3 linked regions of the Arabidopsis thaliana genome follow. The protein of the gene in region 3 interacts with the protein of the main gene of each other region in a pairwise test. Each region holds a gene or a part of one and is shown on either strand. Other genes may lie near its edges.

Evidence for each region.
Region 1: the proteins of IMPA-4 (region 3) and AT2G31410 interact in a two-hybrid assay, tested with the Arabidopsis thaliana proteins (one large-scale study listed by BioGRID).
Region 2: the proteins of IMPA-4 (region 3) and NIMIN-2 interact in a two-hybrid assay, tested with the Arabidopsis thaliana proteins (one large-scale study listed by BioGRID).

Annotation. Positions count from the first base shown.
Region 1 is NC_003071.7:13,386,889-13,396,983, forward strand, and holds AT2G31410 (coiled-coil protein), read right to left. Parts: upstream 6,040-10,095; 5' UTR 5,932-6,039; coding exon 5,332-5,931; 3' UTR 4,993-5,331; downstream 1-4,992. Other genes in the region: GUN1 (s uncoupled 1), read right to left, coding at 313-610, 951-1,135, 1,235-1,451, 1,606-3,662; AT2G31420 (B3 domain protein (DUF313)), read right to left, coding at 6,476-7,105; AT2G31425 (Plant invertase/pectin methylesterase inhibitor superfamily protein), read left to right, coding at 7,868-8,077, 8,342-8,689; PMEI5 (Plant invertase/pectin methylesterase inhibitor superfamily protein), read left to right, coding at 9,405-9,605, 9,685-10,023.
Region 2 is NC_003074.8:9,467,330-9,477,056, reverse strand, and holds NIMIN-2 (NIM1-interacting 2), read left to right. Parts: upstream 1-6,017; 5' UTR 6,018-6,167; coding exon 6,168-6,536; 3' UTR 6,537-6,700; downstream 6,701-9,727. Other genes in the region: CRF11 (Integrase-type DNA-binding superfamily protein), read right to left, coding at 7-1,005; AT3G25880 (NAD(P)-binding Rossmann-fold superfamily protein), read left to right, coding at 7,024-7,070, 7,182-7,337, 7,444-7,465.
Region 3 is NC_003070.9:2,989,438-3,002,232, reverse strand, and holds IMPA-4 (importin alpha), read right to left. Parts: upstream 7,903-12,795; 5' UTR 7,728-7,902; coding exon 7,497-7,727; intron 7,087-7,496; coding exon 6,990-7,086; intron 6,889-6,989; coding exon 6,797-6,888; intron 6,697-6,796; coding exon 6,565-6,696; intron 6,341-6,564; coding exon 6,155-6,340; intron 6,007-6,154; coding exon 5,843-6,006; intron 5,596-5,842; coding exon 5,517-5,595; intron 5,433-5,516; coding exon 5,304-5,432; intron 5,032-5,303; coding exon 4,904-5,031; intron 4,779-4,903; coding exon 4,400-4,778; 3' UTR 4,395-4,399; exon of another isoform or gene 4,314-4,394; 3' UTR 4,025-4,313; downstream 1-4,024. Other genes in the region: AT1G09290 (uncharacterized protein), read left to right, coding at 1-41, 131-307, 393-551; AT1G09280 (rhodanese-like domain protein), read left to right, coding at 980-1,171, 1,516-1,677, 2,100-2,205, 2,298-2,478, 2,565-2,646, 2,725-2,807, 2,897-3,029, 3,106-3,205 and 1 more; AT1G09260 (Chaperone DnaJ-domain superfamily protein), read right to left, coding at 8,413-8,829; AT1G09250 (basic helix-loop-helix (bHLH) DNA-binding superfamily protein), read right to left, coding at 12,101-12,724. UniProt on the Arabidopsis thaliana protein: Binds to conventional NLS motifs and mediates nuclear protein import across the nuclear envelope. Acts as a cellular receptor for the nuclear import of the virD2 protein of Agrobacterium and is essential for Agrobacterium-mediated root transformation.

The sequences.
Region 1 (10,095 bases), on a different chromosome or scaffold from region 3:
TCGAAAACCTGTGGATTCCTCTGTTTAGTTTCCATAAAACCAGCAACGGATCACGAAACGGCCAATGTCAATAGAGATTTTCTCTGTTTAATGTAAATAATCCTTTTTTGTTTCTAATAAATCTCGAGATTTGCTTTAAAATATTTATTCTTACATATCTTTAAGAAAAGAAAAAGACAAAACGATTTTCACATAATCAATCGAGTTGCTTTGTTACAAATATTAGCACAGAGCCAAACATTGTTAGGACCATTGGTCCTATACACTTTAATGATCAACACAAATTGTTTTACTTTTACATCATACACTAAGCTACAAAAGAAGAGGCTGTAAAGCAAACGACGTCTGTTTCCGTTGTTGTTGGTCTGTTGATTTCATTGTTGTAGTAGTAGCTGTGGCGGTTGTTATGTGGTCATGGAGGATTAAGAGTTTCAGTGTGGCTGATTCACGCAGCCAAGTTGCTACCACCGAACCGCTTGATGTGAACCGTCCCATGTTGCATTTTGACAGGTGGAATGGTGCATCCATTCCCCTCAAAAGAACTTCAACCGCTCGTCTTAGTGCTCCGTCTCCAACCACTTTGCTGTGTTTCCCCCAGCCAGTCAATATACTGCCACAATAAGAAAAAGTTATTAACAAGTTTTGAACTAACCCAGATAGTGATAAAAGTTGAGGGGATCACAAAAGATTTGCGAAACATGACCACATCACATAAGCAAAGTATCTACAGAGACACTATAATCATAGTGTATGACCAAAAACTTCAACCTATCACAAGAAAACATAGCATCATCAAGGACATGCTGCATATCAGATTTCGGAAAAGAAGAGATTGGACTTAATTCTCGGGCCCTGATGGAGTTTTAGGAAGCAACCATAAAAGGAAAAGAGCCGGGTATTATAGGCCGGTTTAAGTTGATAGTTAAACCGAAGAGCTCTTTGTAGCTTACCTCAAGACTTTAGGTAACTCATGACCTTCATAGACAATGGAGCGTATGTTTAGTAGCCACGCATGGACCATTGCACGTGCAGCTCCAGAAGACATGAGGTGTAAGTCCAAGCAAGAATCAGACCACACGTTTTCCCAAACTTGCCTAGATCTTCCCTCAAGTGCCACCAGTTCTGCACCTCGTTTCTATAGCAGAAGGTTCCCAAAAGTAAGCCTTTGTACTAATAGTAACGCATTAAAAAACGGTTACAAAATTTGGCCTCTACAATATCAGTGTTATTTTACCTGGCCAAAGTGCCAAAGCATGTCAGTTAGGGCATTGTAGAAGGCAGAAGCAGTCGAACCATCCATTTCATTTACTTTGTCAAATAAGCTCTGAGCTTGGAGCCATACATTCTCTCTCTGGCCCATGAGAAGTCCATGAACAACACCATATACCTTATTATCAAACAGCCTGAGCTCCTCTAGTAGCATTGATGCATCTTCAAATGAGTTACACCGACTACATAGATACAAACGTGTAAGCAAAATAAGTATCCCACAGAAAATGGAGTCAAACAGCAAAACCACATAGAGCTAATCTAGGAAAACCCAAACTATTTGGTCATATCTTTCACTCGTTAACTTCAAAAAGAGGATCCAAAGGAGAAACAAACCTGCAAGCATTCAGAATCGCTGAAAAGGTTACAACATTTGGTTTAATTTCCAGCTGATGCATTTTGCGGAAAACTTCCAATATACAGGAGAGCTCCTGCATACCCTCCTCACAATCTTTCGTCGTTCGGTTGTTACTCTCAGTTGTTAACTGCCCAAATAACTGTATTACCCGATTACCCTCTGTTTCAGTCAATGCACTCAGAGCAGAAGAAGAGAAAGGCAAAGATCCACCATTGCTATAATCGGCTGATCTGTCCATAGTTGCAGAACGACCAAAGGCATCGATTATGGAATTATAAGTTACAACATTAGGACTAATTCCTTCCTTTGTCATCTCATCGATCAAAGAAACAGCAGAACCCACCAACCCATTCTTGCACAATGCATCAATCAATGCACTGTACAAAACAACATCAGCTCTTAATCCGGCGCTCTTAAACTCCCTAAATATCTCCATTGCCTCTTTATACAAACCCCCCTTCGAGTACCCATCGATCAAAGTTGAATAAGTCAGTAAGTTAGGCAACACATGCTCTCGCTTCATCTCAGTGAAAACTTTCTTCACTTCATCATATTTCCCTTGTTTCCCATATCCTCCAAGAAGAGCATTATAAGTCACAACATCCTTTTTAATCCCAACAGATGCCATTTCTCTCAGAATATCCAAAGCTTCTTCAGATCTACCAACTTTAGTGTAGATTGAAAGCAATGTATTGTAAGAAACTCTATCTAATGCAATACCAAGATATCTCATTTCACCAAACAAGTTAAGAGCTTCATCAAATCTTCCGGCTTTTGCAAACCCATCAATAACGGTGCTATAACTTACAACATTAGGCATGATTCTCTTAACTGGCATCTGAGCAAGGATTTCGAAAGCAAGGTCCATCTGCCCACCTTTGCAAATTGCATCCAAAAGCGTATTATAAGAAAAAACATCTTGCTCAATCCTTCTATTCGTCATCTCATCAAACAGATTCCTTGCTGCTTCCCACAACCCTCCTCTACTGCAAACAGCAAGCAACGAGTTGAAAGTTATTCTATCTGGCTGCACACCGTTCCTCTGCATCTCATCGAAAAACTTGGCTACTTGCTTAAACTCCATCCCGCCTTTACCGCAAGCGTCAATCACAGCATTGTAGGTAACCAAATTCGGCCTCAAGCCATACTCTTTCATGGAGTTGAAGACACTAATGGCTTCCTCATGTAGCCCACTTCTCCCATAAGCGCTGATCAAAGCCGAGAAGGCGTAAACCGTGTTTCCATATCCACCAGCAAAAGCAGTTTCGAAAATCCTCTTAGCAATAGTTACTTTACCATATCTACCAAGAGTACTTATCATAGCACTAGCTAACTTCCCCTGCTCGTTCTTTCTCCTCTCTCGTTTAACCGCAAACTCATAAAAGCCAACAGCTTTATCGCACTCATTACGATTCCCTAACTCACGGATTATATAGGTACAGTCGTCAGAGCCACACAGCTTTGACTCAAAGCTCAACATTAGACTATGAAACATCTCATCGTCTCCAGAGAAATCAATAGCGTTTTGAAGTGCATCTTCAGCAGCAGAGCTATGTCTCGTAGCCATTGTCGTCTTCTGCCGCCCGAAATGCATCTTGGAGACGAATCTAGTCGATCGTCTACCTGAAAAATCCGATGAAAGATCGGATTTTGGGGTTTGGAGAGGCGAAAAGTTAGGAGGTTGTGATAGTTGAGCTGGAGCTACAGTAGCTACAGATGAAGGCGGAGGAGCTGAGCCACGAGGAGAAGAAGAGGCACCATACGGACGGTGGTTGTAGTTTGGGTTTTGCCTGGTCTGACGGTGGTTATTGGTGGCGGGGGAGACGAATCGGGTAGATTGACGACCGGAGAAATCTGATTTGGGGGTTTGCAAAGGAGAGAAATTTGGAGTAGTCTGTGAAAGATGAGCTGAAGAAACAGAGGCTGAAGAAGAGGGAGGAGCTGAGGTAACGGAGCGACCGGGACGAGGACGCTGAGGAAGCCATGGACGGTGGTTGTTGGTGGTGGTGACCCAGTGAGGCGGCGTTGACGCCATTGAAAGGAAGAGTTTGTGGTGATTACGGAATCGAAAAGAGCTACATATGGATAGGGTTTTTCATTGCTTCTTTGGAATTCGTAAAGACTCAAACTTTTTTTTTTTGGATAGGTCTTTTGGAGATATGAGCCGATAGAGAGAGAGAGAAGATGAATTGGTAGGACTCTCCTCCTCTGCTTCCTAGAAAAATGATTTTTTATTATTTTGCTTACGAAATTGATTAATTTCACTAAAGTCATGGTTACTTAACTTTCGTCTGTTTCTTTCATTCTTATTTGTTTTTGCAATAATTGTCACATATTTGTTTTCCAATTGTGTATCTGTTCTGTTAAATAATTTGTTTATCAGACTTTCTGAGAGGAGATCTGGGGAAAGATATGGTATTGGTTAAGCTTTATGCGACCAACTCTCACCAAATTATGTAATCAACCACCTACCTATTGACGAGTAGAAAGAACATTTGGATGTTGCACGAGTCATTGTTCCACCTAATATAGCAAAAAAGTAATGTAGAAAGCTGAAACAATCTAAAAACTCTGATATCACTGTCTTGTTTTTATATAAATGTAGGAACCAGAATTTTCGAACTCCAAAGGAATCCTAATGTTCCAGATGTCAAACTCTCAGTATTCCGACAACGATTTCAGTGCCAAGATATTAAACGCTTGCGTCACAGAGTGAACATATATCTGAATTACTGCCACACAAAACTTCTCGAAAGATGTTGACATTTCTGGTCCAACATTATCTTACATGTGTAATATAAGATCAACAGTTACTGGCTGCCATAGAGAATGTATATTATTTGTCTCTCATCCAATTAAACCATTATAAAGCTCTTTCACAAGACATAAATACAATTGAAATTACAAACAAAAGGAACCGAGAACACATCACACAACAAGCAAAACTCATGGGATCATTCAATTGTTATATTTCAGTAAAACTAAAACCCGAGAAAAGCTATTGAAATGAAACCATAAATCGAAGATCGAAGTCAATGTATAGGTTAGATTTCAGACCCGAATGCCTATCTATATCGCACCAAACAGCAAGAGGCAGCATTAGAGAAACACCAAGATCCTTATCAAGAGGGAGAGCCAGAAATAGCAATGAACAACTACATATAACTAAGGCGTGATAAATTCAACACAATCATAATCAAAATTCAAGACATTACAAAGAACTTTCACAGGATAGGACTACAATTGAAATACTCCTAAGAACAGCTAAAATCACCGCATTTCAAACAAGAGGAACGGAGAACAAACTCATGGGATCAACCCTTTATATGGTTGTCACTTTATTGAGAACATATCAGAACATAGCTATCGAAATGAAACCATTAATCAAAGTCAAACACCAAGATCCTTATCAAGAAGCAGAGCCAGATATAGCAATGGACACACTACATATAACTAATGTGCGACAGATTCAAGTCAATTACACAATGATAATCAAAATCCAATTTCTCAATGGAGTGAAATTGAAACTGCAAACAAAAGATGGGTTCTTATCTGTTGAAGCAAAACACAGTTTCTCACTATTAAACTTTCATAACATTTAGTTCTTAGCTGCAGATTGTTAACTAAACAACATCGAATAAACCTCATGAGGAAATACAAAAAACTGAAAACACTTGCCTTTAAAGAGAAGGAACAAAAAACCACTAATTCGTGATACTCTTCTTGCTACCACCACTCAACATCTCGTCAGGAATTTTCTTAAGCTGCTTCCTCTGCTTCTTAGACATAGAAATTTTCTTCAAAGTCTTGGGATTTGTAATCTTCTGCAACTTAGTACCAGTTCTCAAAACATTCTCCTTCTTCCGCTTCTCTCTCTCTTCCTTCTTCTTCCTCTTCTCAACCTTATTACTCCTAATCTCTTCCTTCAGCTCATTCACCCTCTCCTTATACGCTTTCTTAATCTCCCTTTGCCTCTTCATCTCCTCCAGATCTGGTTTCCTGTTCTTCACAAACCTCCCTGAAGATCTATGAGTTCGCGGCTGTTTCCAGTTCCGTCCGGAGACTTTCCCGGCGATTACACCGTCGTAGGTTGGTCTCTCGACAGCTAGAGCAATAGGTTTGTCTGGATTTTCAGAGGAAGCGACGGCGCTACGTTTCGCGGCAGGAGGAGCACCATCGATGTCCATGGAAGCTTCATCGGCGATTGCTTCGGCGGCGGCTTGTTCTTGAGATTCGCGTTTGCGTTTGTAGGTTTTGCCGCCGAATCCTTCGTCAAGGCACCGGAAATCTACGGTGCAAGCCATTTCTTCTCTTCTTTGTGTGGCTGTGAGGTTTTGGCAGAAATTTAGGGTTTCTCGACTATTTATATGAGTGAGGATGGAGACAGGGTTAAAATTCCGGTTTTTTAGCCGACCACATAATTATAACCGAACCGAACCGGAAATTATGTGATTCATCAATTACTCTGTTTTAGTGCAAACACCTTCTCTTTTAAATTGTAGAAAACCAAATCAAATCTTTTAGGTTGTGAATTTGGATAGAATTGGGAATAAATCCATGTTCGTGATAAAATATTGATTCAAGCTATTAACACAAGTTAGTACCGCAACAATAAATCCAAAGTAATCTTTTAGAAAAAAATTGTTAATAAATCTACATTATTACCAAGTCAATTTAAAATAAATAAATAAATTCAGAAAAATAAGGTCATTGGACAAACATCCAACCTCTCTAGTTGACTCAAGGGAGAAAATATCCAATCTCTCTACAAAAAAAAATCAATAAACCATAAAAAATAATGAAAAACAAATTCCTAAAGTTACTTGGGTCTCAAGCAACATTGTGACATTATGAGGAATGACCAGAGCTGCTTCTACCACAACGGGTTGGAGAAGAGAGAGCAAAGCAAAGTTTTCCACTTCCATCTCGAAAGGACCAGATTTCAATCACGTCATTGACTTTGAAGATTTTTTTATCAATCACATTGTTCCAACCATGACTTAACACATATTTCCAAACTGTATTACCATTCCACTTCTTTAAATAAACGACATGCTTATCCGATTCAGGATCCACCAAAAACACTTTCAAACCATCCCTTTTAGCCTTTAAAAAGTCTTCATCTAAGAATCTGGTTTCGTCCTCTGTCAAAAAATCTGACTTCTCTAATTTGCTGAGATGCATTGAGAGACACCCCTGGTTTTTACGGAGATCAGTCGTACACAGCACCCTCCTCTTTATGATCAGCTTTGGATCGTATCCATTCTCTTTTCTCATCACTTTCACGAGCCAGTCTGGTATCGAAGAATTGCATGTTTCGGGACTATCAGCAGGACATAACGAAACGATGTCGCTTTTGTTCTGCTGAGAGGGGCTCGGGATGTCGAGGATGATTTTCTTTTTTCCTTTGAGAACTATTTGAGAAAATTCTTCCAACATATCCAGCTTCCAAAACTTACAAATATCATAAGCCTCCATTGTGCGGCCAGAGAACTACAAGAAATTAAGGAAGAGGTTTAATAACAAGCTTAAGAGAGAGATAGAGAATATTATATAACAGAATTTTTAATTACGTTCTTACTAAGGATTTGCTCTTGTTTTTTTCCCAATCTTCCTTAAATAAGTTATATATATATATATATATATATATTCTAGTAATAAATTCTTATTTTAATAATTTTCTAGTGATAAATTTTTATTTTAGTTCTCACTATTTTAATTTTTAATTTTAATAATTAGGTGAAATCCAGTTAATTAACGTTTTTTAATCAAATTTTTGTTTTATTTCATTTATTTTTCCCCTAACATAAATAGGTTTTAGTTTCCAAAAGTAAAAAAAAATTGGATTAGTTTATTTGTTTATCTTGATGAATTTTATTTTTTTGTGAAAGATTAGTTTCTTTATTTCCCAAAGCAAAACATGTTTATCTTTTGTCATCCATGACCCAAGAGAAAAAAAGTTTTGTGTACAAAAATTAAAATTAGGAGATAATGGAATGGTCTAGTGGAAACCGAAACATTAAACTGCCATTAGTATTTTCATGGTTATTAATGATTGTTAATTACTATTTTGATGAACTACCGTTCAAAGTCTTTGACTTTCCTAAAAATTTCAGGAATCTCATTCTCATCCGTATATTATCATCACCTATTTTAGCTTTGAATTTAACTATAAATAAAATGTTTGAAACACAACAACGGAAACAAAATTAATTAAGAAAGACCTTCTTTGTTCACAATATGGCCAAAATGACAATAACACACATGAAGTTTCTTCAACTGTTGTTATCTTTAGTGCTCTTTGTATTCTCAATGTCAAATGCAATGCCAATCTCAGACGTACATAATTTTTGCAAGGAAACGTTTGAAGTAGAATTCTGCATGAAATACATTGGGTCGGACCAACGTCTCGTAGCCGCACGCGACTTCAGTGACATGCTTTTAATTCCGGTAACGTTATTTAATGTGACAATTTTGATTAGTGATATGTCAGATTAGTTGATCACATATATTACCAAAAAAGGCAAGATATTTGTTCAGTGTTGGTAAAATTAGGGATAATAGTATAGATTAGTTGAAAATTTTCACCACACCAGTTCTTGTAAGATTACATGGCCTCCAAAATACTAAATAGAAGTTATAGAAATCTGTGGTTTATTCATATTCTACAAAAGAAGTATTATTTTTGGTTTGTGATTGAGACCTTCTTATCAGATATCTGAGACTCAAATTCAAGTGACCAATGCAATCACACAAATCAACAATATCCGCCAAAGGTTTAATGACACGCTTGGAAAGAATCGGATCGCTCTATGCGAGGAAAAATACGAGAGCGCGGGCACTAGTTTTCACAAGGCTTGGGAAGTCGGACAGAAAAAGTCAAATTCATCGACGGACCATATGGAAATAACCCGAAACACGCAAGCTGGCTTTGATGCTGTGTGCGAGTGCGAAGACGAATGGGCAAAGCATGGTCCGAAACAAGAGTCTCCTCTCACTTTCTATTACCATAACGTTCTGAAACTATGCCAAATTACTCGTCTTATTATCAGCAAGCTTTAGGCTTAAGTACGTCGTATTGGAATTTGATTTATTTACGATATTAACTGGTTTAGCTTATTCACTCACACGTTTATTAACACCGATTGTTCTCTGCTTCTAGTTGTAAACCCGATTTTTGAAACTATATGTATTTATTGGTTTAAATGAATAAAACCTTTGTGATGTTTTTGATAATTTATCATCATTCCGTGAAAAACATGACGTTTTAAAATCTCGAGTTTCGACGCAATTTGTGGTATACACCTGAATGAGAGTTTCAAGCAAAAACTAAGTCCGGAAAAATGCTAAAGATGTATGCTAAATTAGCACAAATTCGAAAGCAAAAATAGTTGTCTATGATGTCTTTTTGGAGATGCATGATGCAAATATAGAGTATTCTAGATTTAGTAAGGAATCTCTTGAAGAGATTCTCTTCCATACATTATCAAGAGTTTCCTTTTTTATATATGAGGAAAAGAAAGCATGAAGACAGAGGACAATTTCCTATCCATAAAAAAAGGAAATTATCTATTGCTATTAGTACGAGAATAGGAAATTGGCTTATTGTATAGCCACAACCTATTTAGTATAAATATGGTGCTAAAGTTTTGGAAAAGTTTAGCACAAAAGAATAAGAAAATTCTAATACATTAAGGTTATAAAGTTTCTTGTAAGAAAGAATAACGCTTAACAGGGCTAAGAAAAAAACACAAGAAAACACTTCTTGTTTCTCAAAATGGCCACAATGCTAATAAACCACATGCTTTTCCTTACGTCGTTGTTAATAGTCGTGTTTCCAGTAGCAAACGCGATTCCAGCCAGAGACATTGACAAGTTATGCAAAGAGACAACTGATGTGCCCTTCTGCCTCAAATACCTTGGGACAGATCCACGTATACCAGCCGCACGTGACCTCACTGACGTGCTTTTAATTGCGGTAATGTTATGAATTTTATACATATATTGCAATTTTATTCGAGTGTACTTAATCTTGTTTATGTTGGAAACTTTATCAGATAACGCAGTCAAAAATGCAAGTGGATGACGCAACCACTCATATTGATAGAGTCCGTCGAAAGTTCAATGGTCCTCATGGGAGGAGACGGATCGAGGTTTGCAAGACGAATTACGGAATTGCTTCGGCAAGGTTTCACACAGCTTGGGAACTTGGACTTCAAAAATCGTTTTGGGACGTGGAAAAACTGGCAAGGATTGGCACCAACGCTGTGATCGACTGCGAAAACGTATGGAGAAGGGATGGTCCGATACAAACGTCTCCTCTCACTTTCTATAACATGAATGTTTTCAAGCTTTCTGGAATCATTCTTCTTATTTTCAACAAGCTTGTGACCTAATTGTACCGGAATTTCATGGCCACGACACAAGTGACCTTTTGTGAAAAGGACGTTTCGTTTGTGAAAGTATGC
Region 2 (9,727 bases), on a different chromosome or scaffold from region 3:
CAAAACTTATGGGCACGCGATATTAAGAGGAGTGGGAGTAGTTGTTGCGATATGATCAACGAAAGCATACTTGTCAATGGTGGTTCCAATGAGACCAAGATCGATCTCCACATCTGAGAAATCATAGTCTGGAAGTTCGCTTGGACCGTCACATTCAAGACCAATGATGTCCAGATCATCTATGCCACAGTAATCATCCAACATTTGGTTGTTGTTCTCTTCTGTTAAGAGAAAATCAAGCTCACAAGCATTTGGGATGAATGAGTCATCAATGAAGCAACCCATTTCAGGAATCTGTAGATCTGCAAAGTCGAAATCAAAACTCGCTTTCTTCGATTCACCAGCTTGTTGATCAAGAGTCGAATCAACTAGCTTCTTGTCAAGATCAATGCTTGACCCTGAGGCTGAGATCATAGAACCAGACTCATTTGACAAAACAGAGGAAGCAGCAGAAGTGGCTGCAGCCAGAGCATCAAACTCAAGCTTCTTGGTAGCATAAGCATCAGCTGCTTGTTCAAGCGTCTCGTAAGTACCCAACCAAGTTCTTACTTTGGTGATTGGATGTCTAATCTCAGCAGCCCATTTACCCCATTTCCTCTGCCTAACACCAACAGGCTTCGAGACAGTAGTAGAAGAACGTCCAACGACCGGAGATGCTTTGCTGCGTAAAACCTTTTTGCTACAAGCTGAGATTTTAGTCTTGCTTACACCATTATTGTTACTCTCCTGACAATATGAGCTTTCAGATTCTGCTTGAGTAGCAGCTTGAGCGAAAGGAAGATCGATCTCACAGACATAACGTTTCCTTCTCTGACTCCTTTCTTCTTCTTCGCTTGATGAGTAGTCAGTAGCGTAAGGATCATTCACAACGAAACGGAGTTTTCTCATAGTCTTCAAATCTTCAGATAAACCTGGGAGGTGATTTAGCTGAAAAGGTTTCTTCTTCATGGGTTTTTTGTTGGGTTTATTGGTTTGAATAGAAGAGCGTTTCTTTCGTTCAGCCATTTTATCGAACACTTGGTGTGCGAAATTCAAAACCAAACCCCCTTAAACCCTAAAAAACCTCTCAAAATTCCCAGAAAAGCCTCAAAATGAACTCTCTCAAGAACAAGAAAAGTCCTTTACCCCAGAACAAGTCCTGTTTCAATAACCAGCAAAAACACAACAACCCACTTCAGATTCGAACAGAGAAACTATAAAAACCATTCAAAGTAACAAACTTTAGCAAACCCAGTTACCTTTTAGGTCTTAAACGCATGGAAATCGATGAAACTGTGAGAAATCAATCACTGAGAGAGCTAGTAGATGTAGCTTGATGAACGAGAAAAACAGAGCAGAAAGCGATTAAGAAGACGAAGAAGGAAGAAGAAGAGAGAGAAGCGTAGAGTCAAAGACAGAGCTCCGGTTAAACAAATTATTCCGGCGACTTCAAAGATCCTTTTCTCTCTCACACTCCTCTCAGCTCTTCGAGCTTCCCAAAAGTGAAAAAGAAAAGTGAGAAGATAAAAGATTCAAAAAGAGGAAGAAGAAGAAGAAGAAGAAGATAAAGTAAAGAATCAAAACGAATCGAAAACAGATGACAAATCTATGGCCAAGATTTTTCTGCCTCTCTATTACCAAAGACAAAACTTTTAATTTATGTCGGAAAAATAAAAGAAAGTTATGTAACTGGTAAATTTAAGAGACCGAGGAATTTAAAAAGATGTTAAAAATCTTTTAAGAAACGATTGTTCAAACACAGATCTCAATAAAAATTTATTAAAGCATTAAAAGAAAGAAAAAAAACGAAGATGGGAAATTAAATTCGTTTTTTATTAGCATTTGGTTTTTTTTTTTTGGACAGTTTTATTTCATTTTTTCGGTTAAGATTGGTGAAAATAGTTTTACAATAGGGATAAGGAAAATGTTTTTTAAATTATCACTTTATCATTTTCGTTGGTTTAAAGTATGAATTTTGGATCTTGTGAATTAAATTCTTAATTTGATGTTGATTTTCAATTTAATTACAAATTCTCGTTGACTAAGCCAATTGAGACACAATTTTTTTTCCCGGTATCGTCAATCGACCTAAAGATGAAAGATTACTTTGAATTCGAATAAGAAGAGAAATTCCAAAGAAGATAAGAGATTCTGAAGAAAAATAGAGAAAAACTCAAAAATTTTAATTAGAAAATTTTTTAACGATGTGTCTTAATTGGCTTAGTTAACGAGAATTCGTGATTAAATTAAACGTCAACATAAAATTGAGGATTTAAATCACCAAATCGAGAGTTTATGTTTTAAACCAACGAAAATGGTAAAGTGATGATTTAAATGACATTTTTCCCTTTTACAATATGGTAATAAAACATACTATTTTTGGAATTATATTATGGATATATGGTAAATAAATTTAGTTTGTGAAAGGAATAATACTTTGTATCGAACAAGTTATTATTGTATTGTAATACATTATTCATGAAATTTACTTCTCACTGTTACTGCACTGTGGGTCTTTTAGCTAAGTGAAGTAATAGAATTTTATTTTATTAATAGTATTAAACTACAATAACATATATATTCGTTTTTTAATTAAAAATAAATAAAAGAGAGTGACTAGTAACTACTCCTTCATTGTTTAGTGAATTATTCATATTATTTGATGTGATGTATACTTGTATTCTATAGTAATTTAACTCATTCTCCCAAATTGACTCTTAAACAAAAACATCAATTATAGATTCTGATAATTTTTTCGGCATTCAACAAAAATATCTTACAAAAGATCGACGAGTATAATTCAATACCATTAATTAACATAACAATTTGTGAGGTTAATTAATTACATTAGAGGTAGTTTACTTTGCAGTATCTTGATTGTGCTAAAGAAGAACAATTTCGAACGTGGAGGATTGTTCCATCCCCACATTTGCTAGTTGCTACCAACCGAGGGACTTTTCATCATAATTTACAAGTCTTCTTCCCATCTTTAGTGGGTATAAATAAATACAATTTTTTTTTTTTTTTTTTTTGTGCACCAAATAAATACAATGTTAATGAGAATAATTCACAACTCAAAACGTTTTTGAATAACTCTGTTTTATTTTTTCCACACTCAAGCATTTCATGAAGTCAATGGTCTCTTTTTGGGTCAACTAAGTCAGTGCTTAAGTTAAGTTACTCTGTAATATTCCGTAACATAACATGATCATGATCACTCTAATAACTTGCAAAATCATTTAAGTTCGGTCCGATTTGAACCGATCAATTTAAACTTGTATTTTAGAGGTTAAGCTCATCCATTATTTGATATCTTACACCATGAACGAACATTTGGTTAACCTAAAGAACACAAAATAAAATAAAAATTTCTAACATTTTTTGCTCGATTCTATTTGGTTTCGGTCCTAATAGTTTTGAAACAACTTAAAACAGGTCGCTTCCAGATTAATCCAAAAAGTTAACATCTCTAGATTAAAATTTATATATCAACTTCAAATTTTATGATTTTTTTGTAAGGTTCATTACGATTCGATCGATTAAAAATTTAAAACATTTTTTACTAAAGAAATACCAAAAAAATATTGAAAGTGTCATTTTCTTTCAATTCCATAAAACGAAAGGAACTCCTAATTTCCAAAATTTTGTTTATTCCACAGCTTTTTTAACATATCGCTCGCATTGCCACATTGGTCCAGACCTACTCCCCTTTTTATTTACAAGATTGCCACTTTAAAGAGTTGGATAATTAATTTAGTTTAAACTAAACATTTTTCTGCAACAATATAGTAGGAAAACAAAAAGCTAGAAGAAAAAAGAAAACAGTGAACGCACGCCTGAATGCATGTGATTGCCTACCCTACGTGAAGAAAAGACGATGCAATTACAGAAGTAAGAAAAACATTTTCTCCACCAATATACAATGACCCTTACTAATTATTACTATTTCAACAAAACGTTTCCTACGTAAGGAAGGCAACAGATTCATTTGATGTCATTTTTCAACGACAATAGACAAAAAAAAAGTAAAGCAATAATAAAGTAAAGTTGTACACTACATATATACTTTTTAAAAATTGTTGAAACACAAAATGTGTGCAAATTTATAACAGTGTATACAAAATGGATGTTCAACTACGTCAAAGACTATTCATGAAGAAAAACGGTCGTGACAAAATTTAGACAAATTAACAATATATTAAATAAAAACTTTTAAAATAATTTTAGTATTACAGAAACATTATTAGATAAATTCGCAATATTTTTGTTCTATTGAAAGAAAAACAAAAAAGAAAGAGTAAGGGATCATTACATTGATTTCACACATACAAGTGTCGGATTATCAGTGTCACGTGGTGTTTAAAATGTAGACATTTCACCATGTGGACTAATACATTCATAAATAATGCAGCCATCGACGACGACCATCAAGCAATTTTTATATGTGGAAAGTTTTTTCAAAAATTATTAGTAAGTGGACACGTCAGACAAAACAGAGAGTTGAAAAAAAAAAAACATAAGTGTAGAGAGAGCGAAAGACACAAGTGGAGCTGGTCGGAAGTTGGAAAGTTGGAAACAGCTTAGCCGCCCACGTCGGCCCTACAATTGATTCGACGTTGTTAAGATATAAAGCCCAATTATAATGTACTTAACTAAAAGGCTTTTACTTTAGGCCCATATGTAGATCTTTGTTTTCTTTTGTTAAAAGTTAAAACACCAATATCAATTAGTGCTTACATTATTCGAAAAATCATTACAAATTTACGTGTCATTTTAAATTGATAGTGGAAATAAATAAATAAATAAGACTAGGAATAATAATCGCAAGAAAATCTTCCCCACGTTAACGATGATCACAATTCACAAGTTCTTAGTCTTCCTTATTTATTTGTTGTTTGGCCAAATTTTTTTGGTCTTTGTTAAATTATAAAAATATAGATCTCTATGTATATAAAAATATGGGTAATATTAGAAACTAACTATGAAATGGAAAAGAATTGAGAGAATGACATTGTGTCAGAAAAGTTAGGTAAATAACATTTTCTGAAAAAGAGAAAATACAAAAATATCCTTGTGTTTACTTATTTTTACAATAATGCCATTGGCTTTAGTTATAAAGTTTATATGTATTTGTCTAAAATAGCATGATATATTTACAAAAATCATGCAATTCTTTAAAATACATACAGAATATATATACACGATATATATGTTTCTCTGAAATAATGTGTTTCTCAGAAATAGCACGAAATATTTATAAAAAGCATGCAATTCTCTTATAGATCGCGAAGTTTAAAAAAACATATAGAATTGTTACAATATTACATGGGTTTTTATTGGATAACATGACAAATATTTATTTATTTCATGAGTTTTTATTGGATAGCATGACAAATATTAATATATCAGTGTTAATAACATGTTTTGTTCTTAAAATACATGCATTTTAAAATCAGACATTTGTTTTAAAATCAAATCTAATCTCTTATATCACAACGACATTGACGGAAAATTCAGGTAAAAAGAGAAAATAAAGAATGAGAGATAGAGAGATTTCTATGGAAAAAGAAAGAGAGAACATGTAGGTGAACAAAATAAAGAGATATGATGATATATTTTATGAGAGGTGGTGAAGATTATTTTAGGAGAGGGAGAGAGAAATAGAAAAAGAAAATGACATGGTGAATCTGAAGAAGATGAATTGTGTTAAAGATGAAGAGAGAAAGAGAACTCCATGGCTAAAGTCTCGTAAAGAAGATGAAAAAGAAACAAAAGAAGGAAGAAGAAAGAGAAAGGCTAAAATAGACTAACTATTGCCAAAATTTCTGTAGCCGACAAATACTATTTGGTCCAAGGTTATTTTGTGTATTCTTTTGAAGTCAAAAGTTATTTCTTACATATACTCTAAAAATATAGCCGATACCAATTTTTCCACACATGGACTTCCTTTATTCCAAAAGTCAATAAAGTGTGACGTCATGATACTTACGCTTTAAAACATCGCATGATGATGTCATTAGCATCAATCTCCACCGTCCAATTTATTTAGTTGTTGACAATATCGACCGTCTAAGTTCCACACCGACGGCTATAAGAGTTTCATTATAAATTTTAGCAAAATAAAATCAGCAAATAATTTTTTCTTGACTAAGCTTAAACGACGCCGTTAACATTTTCTTCTGGCTAACATGAACAACTCTTTGAAGAAAGAAGAACGCGTAGAAGAAGATAACGGAAAATCTGACGGTAACAGAGGGAAACCGTCGACGGAAGTTGTTCGGACGGTAACGGAGGAAGAGGTGGATGAGTTTTTCAAGATATTACGGAGAGTACACGTGGCGACACGAACGGTTGCGAAAGTTAACGGCGGTGTTGCTGAGGGAGAGTTACCGTCTAAGAAGAGGAAACGGAGTCAGAATCTTGGGTTGAGAAACTCGTTGGATTGTAACGGCGTTCGAGACGGAGAATTCGATGAGATTAATCGGGTCGGGTTACAGGGTTTGGGTTTGGATCTGAACTGTAAACCGGAACCAGACAGCGTTAGTTTATCGTTGTAGACTTGTAGTCCTTCATGTTTTTCCCCTTCTTACAATAATCAATTTTTTTTTAACTACAATACTTTTGAAAAAAATGGTAAAAGAAGATTATTAACATGTTATCCAAATTTCAGATTCTTCAGTTTTATTTTATACGTCAAAAGAGAAGTTATATATTTGCAAAACTACAAGTCAAACAAAAGCTATTTAAGCGTTTGACGTTCCTAAACAACATAAATTTTACTAAAATCAATGTTTTAAAAAAGTGTTGATGGTAAAGATATCAATTGGGCCTTTGCCTGGCCCGTTTAGTAATATTGCAGAGTAGGTATGGGCCTGTATAAGGGAGTCCAAAAAAAGAGCGGGCATTGCGGGTTGGGTGCGTTTGGAACTTTGGATTGTGGATTAGTCATGGTTTATCTATTAATGTCTGCGGACTTGTGGACGACGCGCTTGTTCTTCTTCCTCTGTTTACGACTTACGAACATATGATCTCTCATCTCTAACAATGATGGAACCTAAAGCCAAGTACGATCGTCAACTCATGTATACTATGTTAGTCTCTTCGAACTCTACATTTGTATTATTCTATCGATCTTCGAACGAATCTTGTTGGGAGGAAATTTTATGAAGTAATCGTTGATTGATTAGGATTTTGAGGTGAAGTCAAGGGACTTTGGAAGAAGCGAGTATCTGTTTACTCAATTGTGGTCCTATTGGTTCCAATGCCTTGAAGAATCTCGTCCTTGGTGGTGTTGGTAGTATCACCATCGTTGAAGGATCCAAGGTTCTAATTGGAGACATTTGGAAACAATTTCATAGGTACTAAGTAATGACTAGTTTTTGATTTTTTTTGTTGCTATTTTTAGATGCTATTTGTGTAGTTAAATAGTTATGACATCTCTTTTTCGTCGTTGTTTGGTTATAGCTGGTGGAAGATTCAATGGTGAACCTAGATATTAACGATGGAGTAGACTGAACAGTTTGTGTTTGGTGATAACACAGAATTACAAAACTTGTGGAATAACCATTTATTACGGTCAAAGTCTCTTGTCTTCAAAGGCATGCAATAGAACAGAAGTTCTCCATAAGCGAAGGTTTCAGAGACGAGAACAACACTGTGTTTCAGAGACGAGAACAACACAGTGTGTTTCAGAGACAACTAGAACAGAACAGGATTGCGGGCCAGACCGTTAGACCAATGGACATTGCGAGGCGAATATGGGCTTCGATTGGTCGCATGTGGTCGTTGGCGGACCGGACCACCACTTATGGAAAAGAAGCACGGGCCATCACGGACCCCCCATTTGGTCGCGTGCTCGCCCGTCTGACATCCCTAGTTGATCGTCATCTAGATTTTAGACGTTTATGTGATATCTAAATAACCGTTTTGGCTGTCTAAAATTCCATAAGTTTTATTTTAGTTTATTTTTTAGTTTTCAACTATATAAATTTAAATTATAAGTTTTAGCTTTGTATATATTGTTTGTTTCCAACTATATAAATTTAAATTATAAGTTTTAGCTTTGTATATATTGTTTGTTTCCAACTATATCAATTTAAATTATAAGTTTTAGCTTTGTATATATTGTTTGCTATGAATTATAAATGGTTTTATCTAAGTTTTGTTTATAATTTCATATTTTTATTTTTCTAAGAGATAGTTTTCTATGAATTTTATTTATAATATAATATTTATAATATGTTATGTTGTAAATGTGTAGCCGCTTAAAATCTCCTAAATCATGATTAGACGTTCTAGGCGTAGATCACCACCTCTTAAGTAGCTAGTTAGATTTAGCAGATTATCCAGTTATCATGCAGATTAATTGTATTAGATAGATTTTGGTAAGATAGGTGAATTTAGCCTAATGCTTTTAAATTTATGTATTTTAAAATTAGTGAATACTGAATACTCATATTTCTTGCTTATGTATTTTGATTAATTTAAAATATACAATTTATTTCTATTAACTTGTTTTTATTATGTTATATTAATACAGAAATATATTTTATTTTTATTTGAAAACTATTTAAACCTCTAAAAAATCGTCTATCCACTAATTGACTAATTGTTCTAGCCCTTTAGGCATTAAGCAGAGAGTTATAGTCCATTTATTGTTTTCTTGACATTGGAAAATACTAATAATGCGTAATTATATTAAAGGGCTTTTGGACCTTGTAAGTTGTAGGTTGGCAGACGAAATTGGACAGAAATTTAGCGCAAGACGAGAATTGTGCAAGTGTGAATCACATCCATCCATTTTAATATGACGTGCTATCTCGTTCTTTCCTATGATACTTTAAGTTAATTGAATAAGTCAAAAGTGGATGATAAGATATAGAATTACTAACACGAAATGATATGATTGAAGCAAATTAACATGTCTTCTTTTTGTTTTATATACATAATTCTCAAATCTTTTTTTTCTTTTAAAATCTATTATATCTTTCTAACACAAACAATATATTAAACGAGTTAAAAGTCTAGTCATTCACAATAGTAGTAGTTGTGGACTTAGGTTGCTAGTCAAGCTAATCTTAATCGAGATATGTATTGGCATGACATATAGCTGTGTATCGAGATATGTACATAGACCTGCACGGCTTTATACATGTGCTGGAAAATCTGATATACAAGGTCTATCCAAAATTTGTCTTTTTTTTTATACGTAAATCTATTACAATTAGGGTCCAACTATTAGAGCATTATAATAGTTGACTATCATCATTTTCTCTTTTCGTAAGGCTTTCATAGTTTTTGCAAATGGCTTTGCTCGAAAACGATTGTTTCGGTTGCTTCCCAACAAAACGCTATACCAAACAAAGAATTACAACTCGAACAATTTTGTCTGGATTACATGGACCGTCCATATTGGCCACATAAATGACGTGTTATACATGAGCATACAAATTAATGAAATGATATAACCTTTTATTTTTTGGGTGCTAAAGTCGTTTTGGGTACAAGTTTATAAGATCCTAATCAATCATCTACACATGGTAAAAAGATTAAATATTTAGTAATTAAGAAATTTCTTTCTTACAGCTATCTGAGCTTGACATAATTTTAACTTTTTAAGATTGCGATATCCAAATCTTCTCAGGTTAATATTTTCCAGACTGAGATAGGTTGCAGAGAGAATTCTCTTTCATAAAATCGTTTTTATTTATATCTATTGTGATCGTAGTTTCAAGTATGTATCTATAAT
Region 3 (12,795 bases):
TTGTCAATGATAAAGACAATACACTATCAAAACCTGTGAAGGTAAGAAAGAGTTTCCGTTATATAGGCGTATATGTTATGAATATTGTTAGATTCATGGCAATGGTTAATAACCACATACCACCATATAGTTTGCAGCTGGGTATCAACGTAGAGGTGCGGAGGAGACGAAAGGAAAGATTCGGAAAGACGCTTCAGATGTTCTAGTTCAATGTCCGTTGCTGGACCGCATTAAATGCTTTGAAACTGTGGCAGCTGGAGTGAAAGACATTGTACCAGATTCAGTTGTGGATCTCAAATCTCCAGAGGTAGTGTGTATAGATAGAAAATAATTCTATCTTCGTTGCATCATCGCGTTTATAAAGTCTGAAAGATTGGAGTAAAAATGTGCAGTTATGTGTTCTGGTGGAACTGTTACCGCTCTCTAGAATATCAAGTGGCTCCTTTGTAGCTGCTGTTTCAGTGCTTCCACATAGACTCGTTAGCACAAAGCCGAAACTCTGCATCAAGCCTCTAGTCCCTGAATCCAAACACAAAAAGGGACCAAACTGACAGGTGCAAAGGCTGATCGCTGCATTCGATTTTCGAGAGCCAAAGATATCAATAGAAGTTGTAATCTCTCTGTTTTTGTTTAGATATGTCTTTTGCTTTCAGTATCTCTAATGGAGTTAACAACAATGTCTGACCTATGTTATTCAAGAGAACAAAGATAAACCCATCTCCACCGCTTTTTCCCTATGTTCACAATGTTACAGTTTGTAAGGCTAAGCTATGGCAACTTGGAAATCAATCGGTTCAATTCGGTTTTTAAATTAAACCAATCGATTTATAAACAAATGTCGGTTTAAGCAAGGTTCGGTTTGGTCCACCTCTGGTACGTGGTTTTCCAAATCGCGCTCTGAAACAGTGTTGGCTTCCTGGTTCCATCTTCGCGACGCCAAGAGCCTGAGATTATCCCAGTGGAAAGAAGAGAAACCCTAATGGGAACGAGCTCGTGTGGCGATCACGAGAAGCAGAGAATTGAAGATGAAGAGCAATACGGTGTGTTGCTGTACTACAAGTACACCTCTGTTCCTGATCTAGATGAGCTCGTTTCCTTCTATGAATCTAGCTGCAACTCATTAGGTCTACTCGGCCGAGTCAGGCTCTCCCCTAAAGGCGTCAATGTTACTGTATGCTTCTAATCTCCTTTTCTACATATCCAATGTTTTATATTTGATTTGACCATTTTCTGAGTTCTCTGTTTCGTCTGTGGTTCGCGTCTGATTGAGTATTAAAGCCATGAATCGAAAATTCTAACCCTTTATGTGGTGAGAGAACTGAAAAGAAAAACTTAACCCTTTTGAACTGTGTTCTGTTGGTTGTTTGATTGAGGATTAAAGTTCTCCATGTATAGTTACGACTTACGAGTGTAATCCATCTTAACCATTAAAGAAGTAGACACCAAAAGTTTGAAGCTTTTGCTAGAGTTCTGTTTATACGGTTGGGATAATAGAAAACTTTGCTTATTGGTTAGGTTGGTGGGAAATTAACTGCATTGGAGGAACATATTGCCGCTGCAAAGTCGAATTGTTTGTTTGAAGGGACTGACTTCAAGCTTGCATCTTGCCATCATCCCTTGAATGACAAAGTTGCTGAGGAATGTGGGTTTACATCACTCTCCATCCGAGTTGTTGAGGTTATTGTCTTATCTTTCTTACCAAACATAGTTAATGTTATGTTAAGTTCTTATCTGTGGAACACGTAAGATTCATTTGCGGGGATGATAAAAATATTCATGTTATGATCTCCTTGCTCATCTGACTGAATGTTTTCTACTAATTTATAAAATTCATGCCTATTCTTTCCATAGTCTCCATAACTGATGACCTTGATGTTGTATGTGCTGATTAAATCTTAAATTTTACAAGATTAACGATGACTTGGTGTCAAGTTAAGCTTTTTGTCTTCTCCGGACTTCAAATGTTTTCTCTTTCTGTACTTAGTTCCATTTTTTGCATGTGATGGATGAATTTTTTGTCATTGTGTCGAGGTTCTTAGACTATGACTTTACTTCCTCAGCATTTTGATAGATATGTGGCATTGTGTTGTGATTTGCAGGAGTTAGTGACCTTTAGTCCTTGCCCTCCCCTTAAACCCCCAGAAATTTCAAATGCTGGGAAGCATCTCTCTGCTGCAGAGTTTCATTCGGTCCTGCAGAGTGCCAGTAAGTTTCTTATTTGTTTTATTACTTACTGCTATATTGCGTTTCTTAGCTGATTACGTTTCCTTGCAACTCTGCTGAACATCTGGATGGAGATGGGAAGTCTGAGAATAAGGAACTTGTTTTGCTTGACGCGAGGAACCTGTACGAGACACGGATTGGAAAATTCGAATCAGAAAATGTGGAGACCCTTGATCCTGAAATCAGGCAATATAGCGATTTGCCAACCTGGATTGATCAGAATGCCGAGAAAATGAAGGGCAAAAACGTGCTCATGTATGAATAATAGTTTTGTGACATACGGAGATTTCTTGTTCAGTTTACTTTCTACATCACTGAAGTCTCATCTGTTGGCGAATCAGGTACTGCACTGGTGGAATCAGATGTGAAATGGCATCTGCATATATCAGATCTAAAGGTGCTGGATTTGAGAATACTTTTCAGGTGAGATCCTGGATCGCAAATGGATTTGATACAGGTCACTGAACTTGGCTGACTCCATCTGTTATTTGTTTCTTGCAGCTCTATGGTGGCATACAGAGATACCTTGAACAATTTCCCAGTGGTGGGTTCTTCAAAGGGAAGAACTTTGTGTTTGATCACCGGTATATATCTAGCATCTTTCTATTCTAATCTACGAGGAAAACAATTTTTATAGGTCCAGGTAACATTTATTTTGATGTCGGATTTAAAGGATCTCAGTTGGGAGCTCAAAAGAGGATATAATAGGCAGCTGCCTTCTCTGCAACAATACCTTTGACGACTATTCTCCACGTTGCCGTTGCAGATTATGCCGGATGCTTGTTTTAGTCTGCAATCATTGTCGGGTAATGCACCCAGACCACTTTTGTTGATCAACTCCATAAGGATTGTGTATCTTGGACTTATGATGTGCTATTGCAGGTTAAAGGAGATATATATATATGTGAGCTGTGTCGTAAACACGGAAAAGGGGAAGTCCCTTTGAGTCTTGATCCCTTAAACCAACCTTCTGAAAGCAATGGTAAGGTCTGTTTGTTCATTTTTGGATCAAATGTTTAAAACATCAGAGGATTTTTCAAAATTCTCTAGTCCCTTTTCCCCTGAAAACTTTGTCAATTCACTTCTATGGTCAGGTGACAATACAAGACGGAAGCTGAGGATCTTGTGCTTGCATGGATTTAGGCAGAACGCGTCTAGCTTTAAAGGGAGGACCGGATCACTAGCAAAGAAACTGAAGAATATTGCCGAGCTTGTGTTCATCGATGCACCACACGAATTACAGTTCATCTACCAAACTGCTACCCCTCCATCCGGAGTATGCAATAAGAAGTTTGCGTGGTTGGTGTCATCAGATTTTGATAAACCGAGTGAAACAGGCTGGACAGTGGCCCAATGCCAGTTCGATCCATTGCAGTATCAGACTCAAACTGAAGGGTTTGATAAATCGTTGACATACTTGAAGACGGCATTTGAAGAGAAAGGGCCTTTTGATGGCATTCTCGGATTCTCTCAAGGTGCAGCAATGGCTGCGGCTGTATGTGGGAAACAGGAGCAGCTCGTAGGTGAAATAGACTTCAGATTCTGCGTGTTGTGCTCGGGTTTCACACCGTGGCCATTGTTGGAGATGAAGGAGAAACGATCGATTAAATGCCCTTCACTTCACATATTCGGAAGTCAGCCTGGAAAAGACAGACAAATTGTGACTCAAGCCAGCTCAGACCTGGCGGGGTTGTTTGAAGATGGTTGCGCCACCATTGTTGAGCACGATTTTGGCCACATCATTCCTACAAAGTCTCCTTATATTGATGAGATTAAAGCTTTCCTTTACCAATTCATTTGAGGACTTTATTAACAAGACAAGAAGACTCTTTTGCAATCAAATATTTCTTGTACTTGTACTCTTGCCAAGTAAAAGTTATTAAACTATAACGACGACAAAGATTAAAGTGACAAATACAAAGTGTACCATATCCTAAACCAGAAACCACACTACACATAATTCATAGCAGAGTTTAAGATACAGAATCAGAGAATGATTCAGACAAATAAGGACAACATCAACAACAAAAAGAAAAAAAAACAGAAAAATAAGCCTTTTTGCACCAGAACTCAAAAAGTCGAACTTGAACCTGGCAATTGTCAATAACAGTTGCAAAAGCTGAATCTCATGTTTCCCAAACCAAAGGATTTCAATTTGTACTACTGTATACCTTTTTCAGGCAAATTTGAATCCACCAACGGGAGCAGCGGGATTGTTCCCAAAATTGAAAGCCTGTTGTGAATTGTCATTCCCGCCGTCCTGCAGAATCTGTTCTTCCTCTTCTTCAGCCCAATATCTCTCCAATATCTTAACGGCCTTCTCATATATCTCGTTGTTATCATGGGATTGAAGGTTTTCGACTTTGTCCAACCCATCAGATTCTTCTATTATTTGAGCATAGAGATTCACCCCACTGTTTAATCCCATTTCCTTGTCAGCCTCACCAACCTTGAGAATGTTTTCAAGACCCTCGAGGCACACTGTCACGATCCTTGGATCAGGGCAGATTAGAAGATCACAAAGTGGTTTGATGCAGCCTTGGGTCACCAAATATCTGCATGCAAAACTGTGTTATGGCATTTTTCGATTTCGAGATAGATAATGGTATAAGACTAAGAAGGAACACTATGAAGTGAAGTTAGTTGTTTGCAAATGCGCTTCAGAATAGAGATGACATACTGAATCTGCTCATGTGACCCTCCTGATGTGGCATTGGAAATAGCCCAAGCAGCTTCCTTCTTTATATCGAACTCCGCGTTTTGGAGCAAGTGCACAAGAGGGAGGATTATTCCAGCGCCAACCACAGCCTATTGTTTCAAATATATAAACTGATTAAAAAATTGCTTTTAGCCTCTGAAACTTTAATTAATCTCAATATTTTCAGTAGCAAATAGGGTATAATTAGGTTTCTAGGCAGAGAAGTCATTGGAAAATATGAAAGTACTAAAATTAGCTCGCTCTACTAAAAAGTTAAGAAAAGAGTAACTTCTTCACTTTTCTTCCAGAATCAGAAATGAATATCTTCCATGAACAGCCGTCTTCTTGACATATTAGAGATAGCAACAAAAAAACCGCATACCTCTATCTGAAGTTTATTCCCAGCAGTAATATTCGAGATAGTCCAACAAGCTTCTTTTTTTATACTTTTCTTGTGATTTTGCGTCAGCAAATTATAAAGGTGTGGTAGTACGCCACTCTCAATTATAAACTGACAAGCAAAGACACAGTCATAGTCAAAATCTCAAAACAAATACCCAAAACAACATAAATAGTCGTTCGTCATAAATCATACCTGTGTCTGAGAGTCATCACCAGTTACGATGTTCCCAACAGTTCGAAGAGCAGGAATGAGAACCGTAGGTGATTGATGACTTGAAGAAAGATATATTAATTAGTATAGATGCACCAAGGAAAAAAAAAATAAACAAAAGGAACAAGAATATGAGATAGTAAGAACATCAACATTCAGTTGCCAGAAGATACTCAAAAAGCATCACAAATTTGAAGATACCAACACCTTTATTGAGATAGACAAACTTTTATAGAGAGACTAAATATGATGAGAAATAAACAAAAATAATGTCTAGTCAATTATTGGTCAGGAAAAAAAGAACTAACCCCAAAAGCTCCACAAGTCGTGGACAGACACCTGCCTCAATCACAGCCTGAATCTTATCATTGGGGCCATCTGAAAGGTAGGAGAGAGCCCAGCAAGCATCAGTGAGAACCTCTTCATCATTCAGATAGATAAGCTGCCGAAGAATTGGCAACGCAGGCTTCACCTGAAACATATGAATAACCAACACTAGGCTTGAGTAAAGTAAGGAACACAACGAAACAAATATAATAATAACAATAAATAAATAAACTAGAACCATCAATCATAAGTTGTCCAGAAAAATCAAAGAGAAGCCATTCCTGTAGTCATACCTGTTCAAATGGTGTTGGTGGTTTACCACGACAAAAGTTGGACAAGGTCCATGTAGCATTTCTTAGCATGGACAACTTAGAATTTTCATTTAACTGAGCCAGCAATGGCTCAAGGGCCCCATAGTTGAGAACAAGATTCCTGCAGTTTGGAGAGTCCCCAGCAACATTTCCCAAGGCCCACACCGCCTACAATGATATCATGTAAGGGTTTGTACGAAGCCATAAAAAGTTATAGCACCTATGACTACGGAAAAGCAGTTGGCTGACTATATCACGAAAAACCACTAAGGATCAAAACAAACAACAAACAAACCAAATACGACCACGGAACTTAGAGGCATGTATCCAGGTGGACCAGGTCACATATACAAAATGGAAGCACGCAGTTATCTAGCTAGTTAGTGGCAAACCTGCTCTCGAACGTCATCACTAGCAGATGTAAGAAGCTTAACGAAGATAGGAACCGCCCCCTGTTCGATTACAACCCGAGTATGATCTGATGTTCCTGACGCAACATTGGTCAAAGCCCATGCAGCCTCAAACTGCAAACAAACTTTTCATTAAGCCACCAAACTATTCTTGAGTCTTCAAGGTGCAATTAATAAAGAACAAATCTAAAAATGAAAGAAGTACAAGACATACCTGCAATTGAGGATGGTCATGCCTTCCAAGAAACTCCACAAATCGAGGGATAACCCCAGCTTTGATCACTTCATCAATTGGAGGACTACGCTCTGTTTATCAAACCGTGTTACAAGCAACCATCAGAAGTCTATTACACACATACAACCCCAGAACAGAAAATTGCTTCTGAAAGGAACAAATGTATACCTACCTATAGATAACAACTTTCTAAATTGGGTAGTCGCTTCTAGCTGAGCTTGAGGATCATCAGAATAAACACCTTGTACCATCATTGGGATACCTTCTAACTGTCAAAAGCACATGAACGTAATCAAACAGTTGTTTCCACAGAAACGAAAACCTCTCCTTGGCTAGAAATGTAACACATCCAATCCATTGACAAGATCATCGGATCAGAAGATAGAAATTCCGATATCTAACTAAAGCACACTATACATTGCGATCAGCATACATGGTCATCCAGGATCCGCTATCAATCCCAAATATCCATAAACAAATTCCCAAAAACAAAAAACTAAACTTTGATGGTCAATTATGAGATTGGGAGCTGAGATCTAGAATTGAGGTAGGAAACAGAATCAAAGCCTCACTTTTTTCAACAATCAAACAAAGATCCATCACTAAATAATCAAATCATGTGATCCAAATCACAAAATCACGCACAATTGTATCGAAATTCAGATCAAAGGGAACTTACTCGTTTCTCAACGGCGGCAGCGGTCTGGGGACCATCAAGGCCAGCTCCGAGAGGCAGCTGCTGCTGAAGCATCATTCCTTCACGACGCTTCTTGAGAAGACTATCCTCACGCTTGTTTTTCCTAATCTCGACGAGATTGTCCTCTCTCCTCCGCCTGGCCTCATCGGCATCGACGCCTGTCTTGTATATCTTCTTCCTTAGCTCCGCGCGTGTGCTCGGCCTCAGCGACATCGTTTGTTAAAATCTCTTTCTCTCTCTCGTTCCCTGAAGGCAAACCACTTCGTCTGGATCTTCTTCCTTCTCTCTCGCTCTTTGGCAAAATTGAAATTGGAGAAATTGGGATCGTGGAGGACGAGTCGTCTGGTGCTTTCGGGTTCGGATCCGGGTCGGAGTTTTATTGGTTGTTGGATCCTTCCTCCTGACAGAGAAGTATTGCCACGCTGGCGCAAAATTTTTGTTTTTTCAGTTAATAATAATTTCGGATTTTGTTGGATCCTTCCTTCTTTTCGAATCTTTTCTCCCAAGAATCAGAGACTTTTTTCGCAACATATTATATCATTATATGTAATTATCTTGTATTAAAATAAAATAAATATAATCACGTTATTCCAACGAAAAGCAAACTCTACTAGAATCGTAACTTTTCTTATCAAATCATAATTATTATGGCAGCAAAACTGTAAATTTTGCATTTAAATAAATTCAAAAAAAGTTTGTAAAAATATCCATTAGCACTTTCAAACTGTCACAAGTTTACTTGGAATTAATACCTAGATAAAATAAAATAAAATCATAAAATTAACCTAAAAAAAGAAGAAGAACAAATAGGTTTTGTATTCCAATTCCCAAGAAAGACATGAAACCCTTGCCTCACTGTTTGATGTGGTTCATGATCTTCTGGAGACATGAATCATCTTCACTTAAACCTTTTTTTGATATTGTAATCTTTTCGTTTTTCAGGATCGGACAAGATCTTCCACGCATAATTAATAATCTCGAAAGCTGATTTGGCGGCAATAGATTTATTTGTGTCGGGGTAGAGCTTAACCAAGATGTCTCTGTACTTTCTTTGAATCATCTGATGGCTACAGAACGGATTTGAGATTCTCAAGATATCGTAGTGTGTGAAACTGGCTTTTTGGCTAGTCAAGTTGATTTGATAGGCGAGGAGAATCTGTGAGATCTCATGGTGGTTTGAAGATGTGTTTGGGTGACCAAACGTTAAGTCATTCACGATTTCAATGGCTCCTTTTAGATTACCTCTTTGATAATGTGCTTCCGCTAGTTTTAGCTGGTTTTTAAAGAATTTTGGAGCTTTCATTGAATCGTTCATTCTTTGTTTTTATTGCTGAGAATTAATGGTGAGCATGAGAGATTCAGTGATGAATTTATAAGAGAAACAAAAACATCTATGAAAAATAGGGTTTTGAGATTTGGATAACACCGAATTTTTATGGAAAATGATATTTGGGTATATCCATATTTAAGAGACAAAGAAAAATAATTTTTATTTTTATAAATCCTTTATATTGTAAAACATAAGTCACTGTACCAATAAAAATGTTAAATAAATATTTACAAAACAACAAAAAAGAATCTTCTCAATAAATAAATAAAAGCACGATTTCTCTATAAATACATTTTTGTCCTAAGTAAATTAAATCGAGAAATTACTTAAAAATACAAACTAGCCATATTTTCCACTTTGTTGTTATCGGCGGTTTCTACTCAGGCAAATATAACCGTTTCTCGTCTTTTATTTAATGAAAAGAAAAACTATCAAATTTTTAAATTTTGTGCGTAGAAAAGTTGGAGAGTACGATTGATCTAACTGTTCAGGAATGTGAGAGCAAATAAGAAAGTCAAAGATTTGGTTAGTTCTAAATTTGATTTATCAAGCTTACTCTCAATAAATTTGATTTCGTGACTATGTCATTTTAATATTCTCGTTTGATTTGTATAATAGCATAAAAACATTTACTAAAATGTTGCACTCATTGTAAAATTACAAAAAACAAAATTGAAGAAATTACATTTTATTTATTTAAAAAATTGTCATTTCTTTCACAGTAATAAAGATATGATCCTTTGTTCTGGAATGTAGGAACATGACCCCTTTCCATATCTCCACTTATATAGCTGTAGTTGTTTAGTTTGCTTAATGAAAACACCATAGTTGTTTAATTTGGTTCATTGTAGAAACGTAACAGATCCAAGTAACCAAAAAAGACGATTTATAAAGGCAGATTGAATTTTTCTCAAAAAAGTTGTCTTGTTTTTCATTGCTCTAGATTGGGACCTTAAACATCAAGGAAGGCCGACACTAGTTTGCTTGTCTATAGCCTCTCAATAATATTCCGAGTTAAGTTATTTGGAAGGAAGAAATTCTAACACTGCACATCAAAGAAAAAAACAAAAATTTGACTAATTTTTATTTTCTTTGGAAAACCAAAATATAACTATATATTTACTCTTCAGTTTATCTGTCAACATGTTTTCCTTTATCATCATGTCGTGAAAATGGAACTCGACGGGAGGAATCCATGAAGAGTGAATTGTTAGAGGCAAGTCCAAGAAGCTTGAATGCAAGATTCACAACACGATCTAATAGTAACATTCAAAATTTGGTTATATGTATGGAGGTAGTGATATAGAAACAAAATCGTAGGAGTTGAAGTGGATAATGGTTGACTTGAGACCACGTGCGGAAATGCGAGAAAACACGAGCACAGTTCAAAGACAACGAAATCTGTCTGACTAAGTACATGTGCGAGTGCATGCTGTCTTGCCACGTGTTCCATCTCATTACACCACGCAAAAGTCTTTTACGTGTATAATCAAACGTACATGAAAAGAAAAGATATGGATGACAGTATTTGTTGAATTAAATTTTGTCGAAGAGGGTTTTTGTTTGCTTCTCTAATCGTCGGACCCATTGTTTCCACTACTCAACATTCTGGTCCGGTCTTTTCTGCCGGTTGAACCGATTGCATTTTCCTTCTCTTCTACGGATTCCATAACGTTAAAGTGAGGAGTATTGGTGGAATTAGGGAACTCAAACACAAGGTAAGAATAAGATGATAATTTTGTATTTTTCTTGTTTTGTTTTTTACGAGTCGATAAGTATGGACTGTAAATGTAAAACTAGTGTTTGCTTTTGTTTGTAAATAGCGTTGTAGAAAGAGGAGATTCTTGAAAATTTGGCATCTCCTCGGCCACATTCACATATGAGGTTCATAATTGGAGTCACATGGTTGCATGTGATCACATTGGGTCTACCTTTTAGCCACATATGGCCAACTCCACATTTTCTCCTTCTTCTTTTTTTCCTCTTTTTTCTTTTCGTTTGTTTTGTAGCTATCATTCGATGCATTTATATTATTTAATTAACAAAAGCATACCTATACATATTTGCCTCACTATTAATTCCGCTTTTCTTCACAAAAACCATATCATGTGAATGAATACATTACTATCTAAAACTATATCAGCCGTATTAAGAAAACTAGAAAAGGACAAAAGATGCAGTATGTCGATAGATGACATTTGGATAACCTATCTATCTCAGTTGACAAATATCTTTGAAATACAACCATAAATTAGTTTTTTTTAAGTTTCATCTAACATGTACTTAAAATATATATATTTAAAACCTATAGCACATCCTCCAAGCTCGATCCAAGGACTTATCAAGATGGATTTTGTGAGAAATCTTCTTATATAACTTGGAAGACACAATGACCCACAAACATGTTGCCATTTAATTTGATATACAACAAAAAGGTGTGAATGCTTTTGAAAGACATATTGGGTGTTAAAAGAAAGAGCACACGTGGGGAGTCTTAAAGAGGGAAAAAAGATGTTCCAAGAGACTCATTTCTCAATCTTATTGTTTCCTCTTCTTTTGGTTCCATTTTTGTGGTCCTTTTTGCTCACCACTTCTTTCAATGTTATTCCTAGTGGATTTCTTCTGACAACTAACTTTTACTAACTTGTATTTTATACCATAATCATCAATTTTTCATAATGTCAGTTCTCTTGAAGAGTCGTATGCTACTCCTTGTTATCATAATTAATGTTGACATTCAAGTAAATGTTTTTTTCTAATCAGTTTGAAAGATTTTGAGGGCATTTTGAGCAAAAAATACACTTTTCGACATAAACTTCAACGTCGGAAAAAGTCTTTGAGAATCACATGGAGTCCATTGGCCCCAAAATTAAGGTGGGTGTCCTCAACACGTTACACGCACATGCTCATTTTTGAATTGCTTCAACTTGCAAATTATTTGTTCTTCTCCTTACTTTTTAGTTTCTTTAATTTGTAGGTCTAATTTTTTTTTAAAGCGTTAAACAATTTTTGGAATCGACATTAGTTGGCATTTTGTTGTTGTTATTGTTTAGATAACTTTGATTATCTAACGAAAAAACAAAGAAAGATCAAAATGGATACAAAAAAAAAGAAGTGATGATGTATACAAATAAAATACATGAATTTAATAAATTAAAATCGCGTCGACGAGAAAAAAAAAACACTTGAAGCCAAAATAAAGGGGTAAAAAGGTAAAAGAAAAGCTAATTAACAACTGACAAACTAACTGCCGCCGTTAAGTTCCGGTCAACGTCGTCCGTGGTGCGGCTGCGGTTAAAAGTTCGGCGAGAGCCTCCATGGCTCGAACCTGCATCTCTAACGCTGCGATGTAATCGGTCGCTTCATCTAAAAGATTCGGTACAGAGACTTTCCGGCAACCAGGAACCAAACGGCCAAGAATCTTCAGTTTTCTCTCAACCGCCGGTAACTTAATCCGATTCGTCTCCGTGAGACCTTTTCTCGATTTACAATTTCCCGTTGACTTTTTCGCCTTTCTATGTTTCTTCAGCTTCGCTCGGACGCGACTCGCTAAAATCGCTCTGCTCCACCGAGTCGTACCACGAGCGGACGCAGCTAGAACTCGATCCGCCGTATCACGTATCTCCCTCGCCGCGCCGGAGACGAGTTTATCGGTCTCGTTGTTGCTGGTGGTGGAAGATCTCTGACGAACTCGGCGTAAAGCTTCGACGAGCTTACAAGCGTAGATCTGTTGCACACGATTCGTTTTCCATCTCTTCAAGCTTTCTTCGTTGACACGTCGTGCCTCTATCTCCGCCTCCGCCGTCTCTGATATCCTCGGCTTCTTTCTTCGAGACGATTCACCTGTGTTTTCGATGCTCGGGAACAGAGACTCCACCATTAAATCCGATTTAAAACCAGAGATTCAAAGAAACCGATGATAAAAGGCAAAAACAACAATCTCTTCTTCTT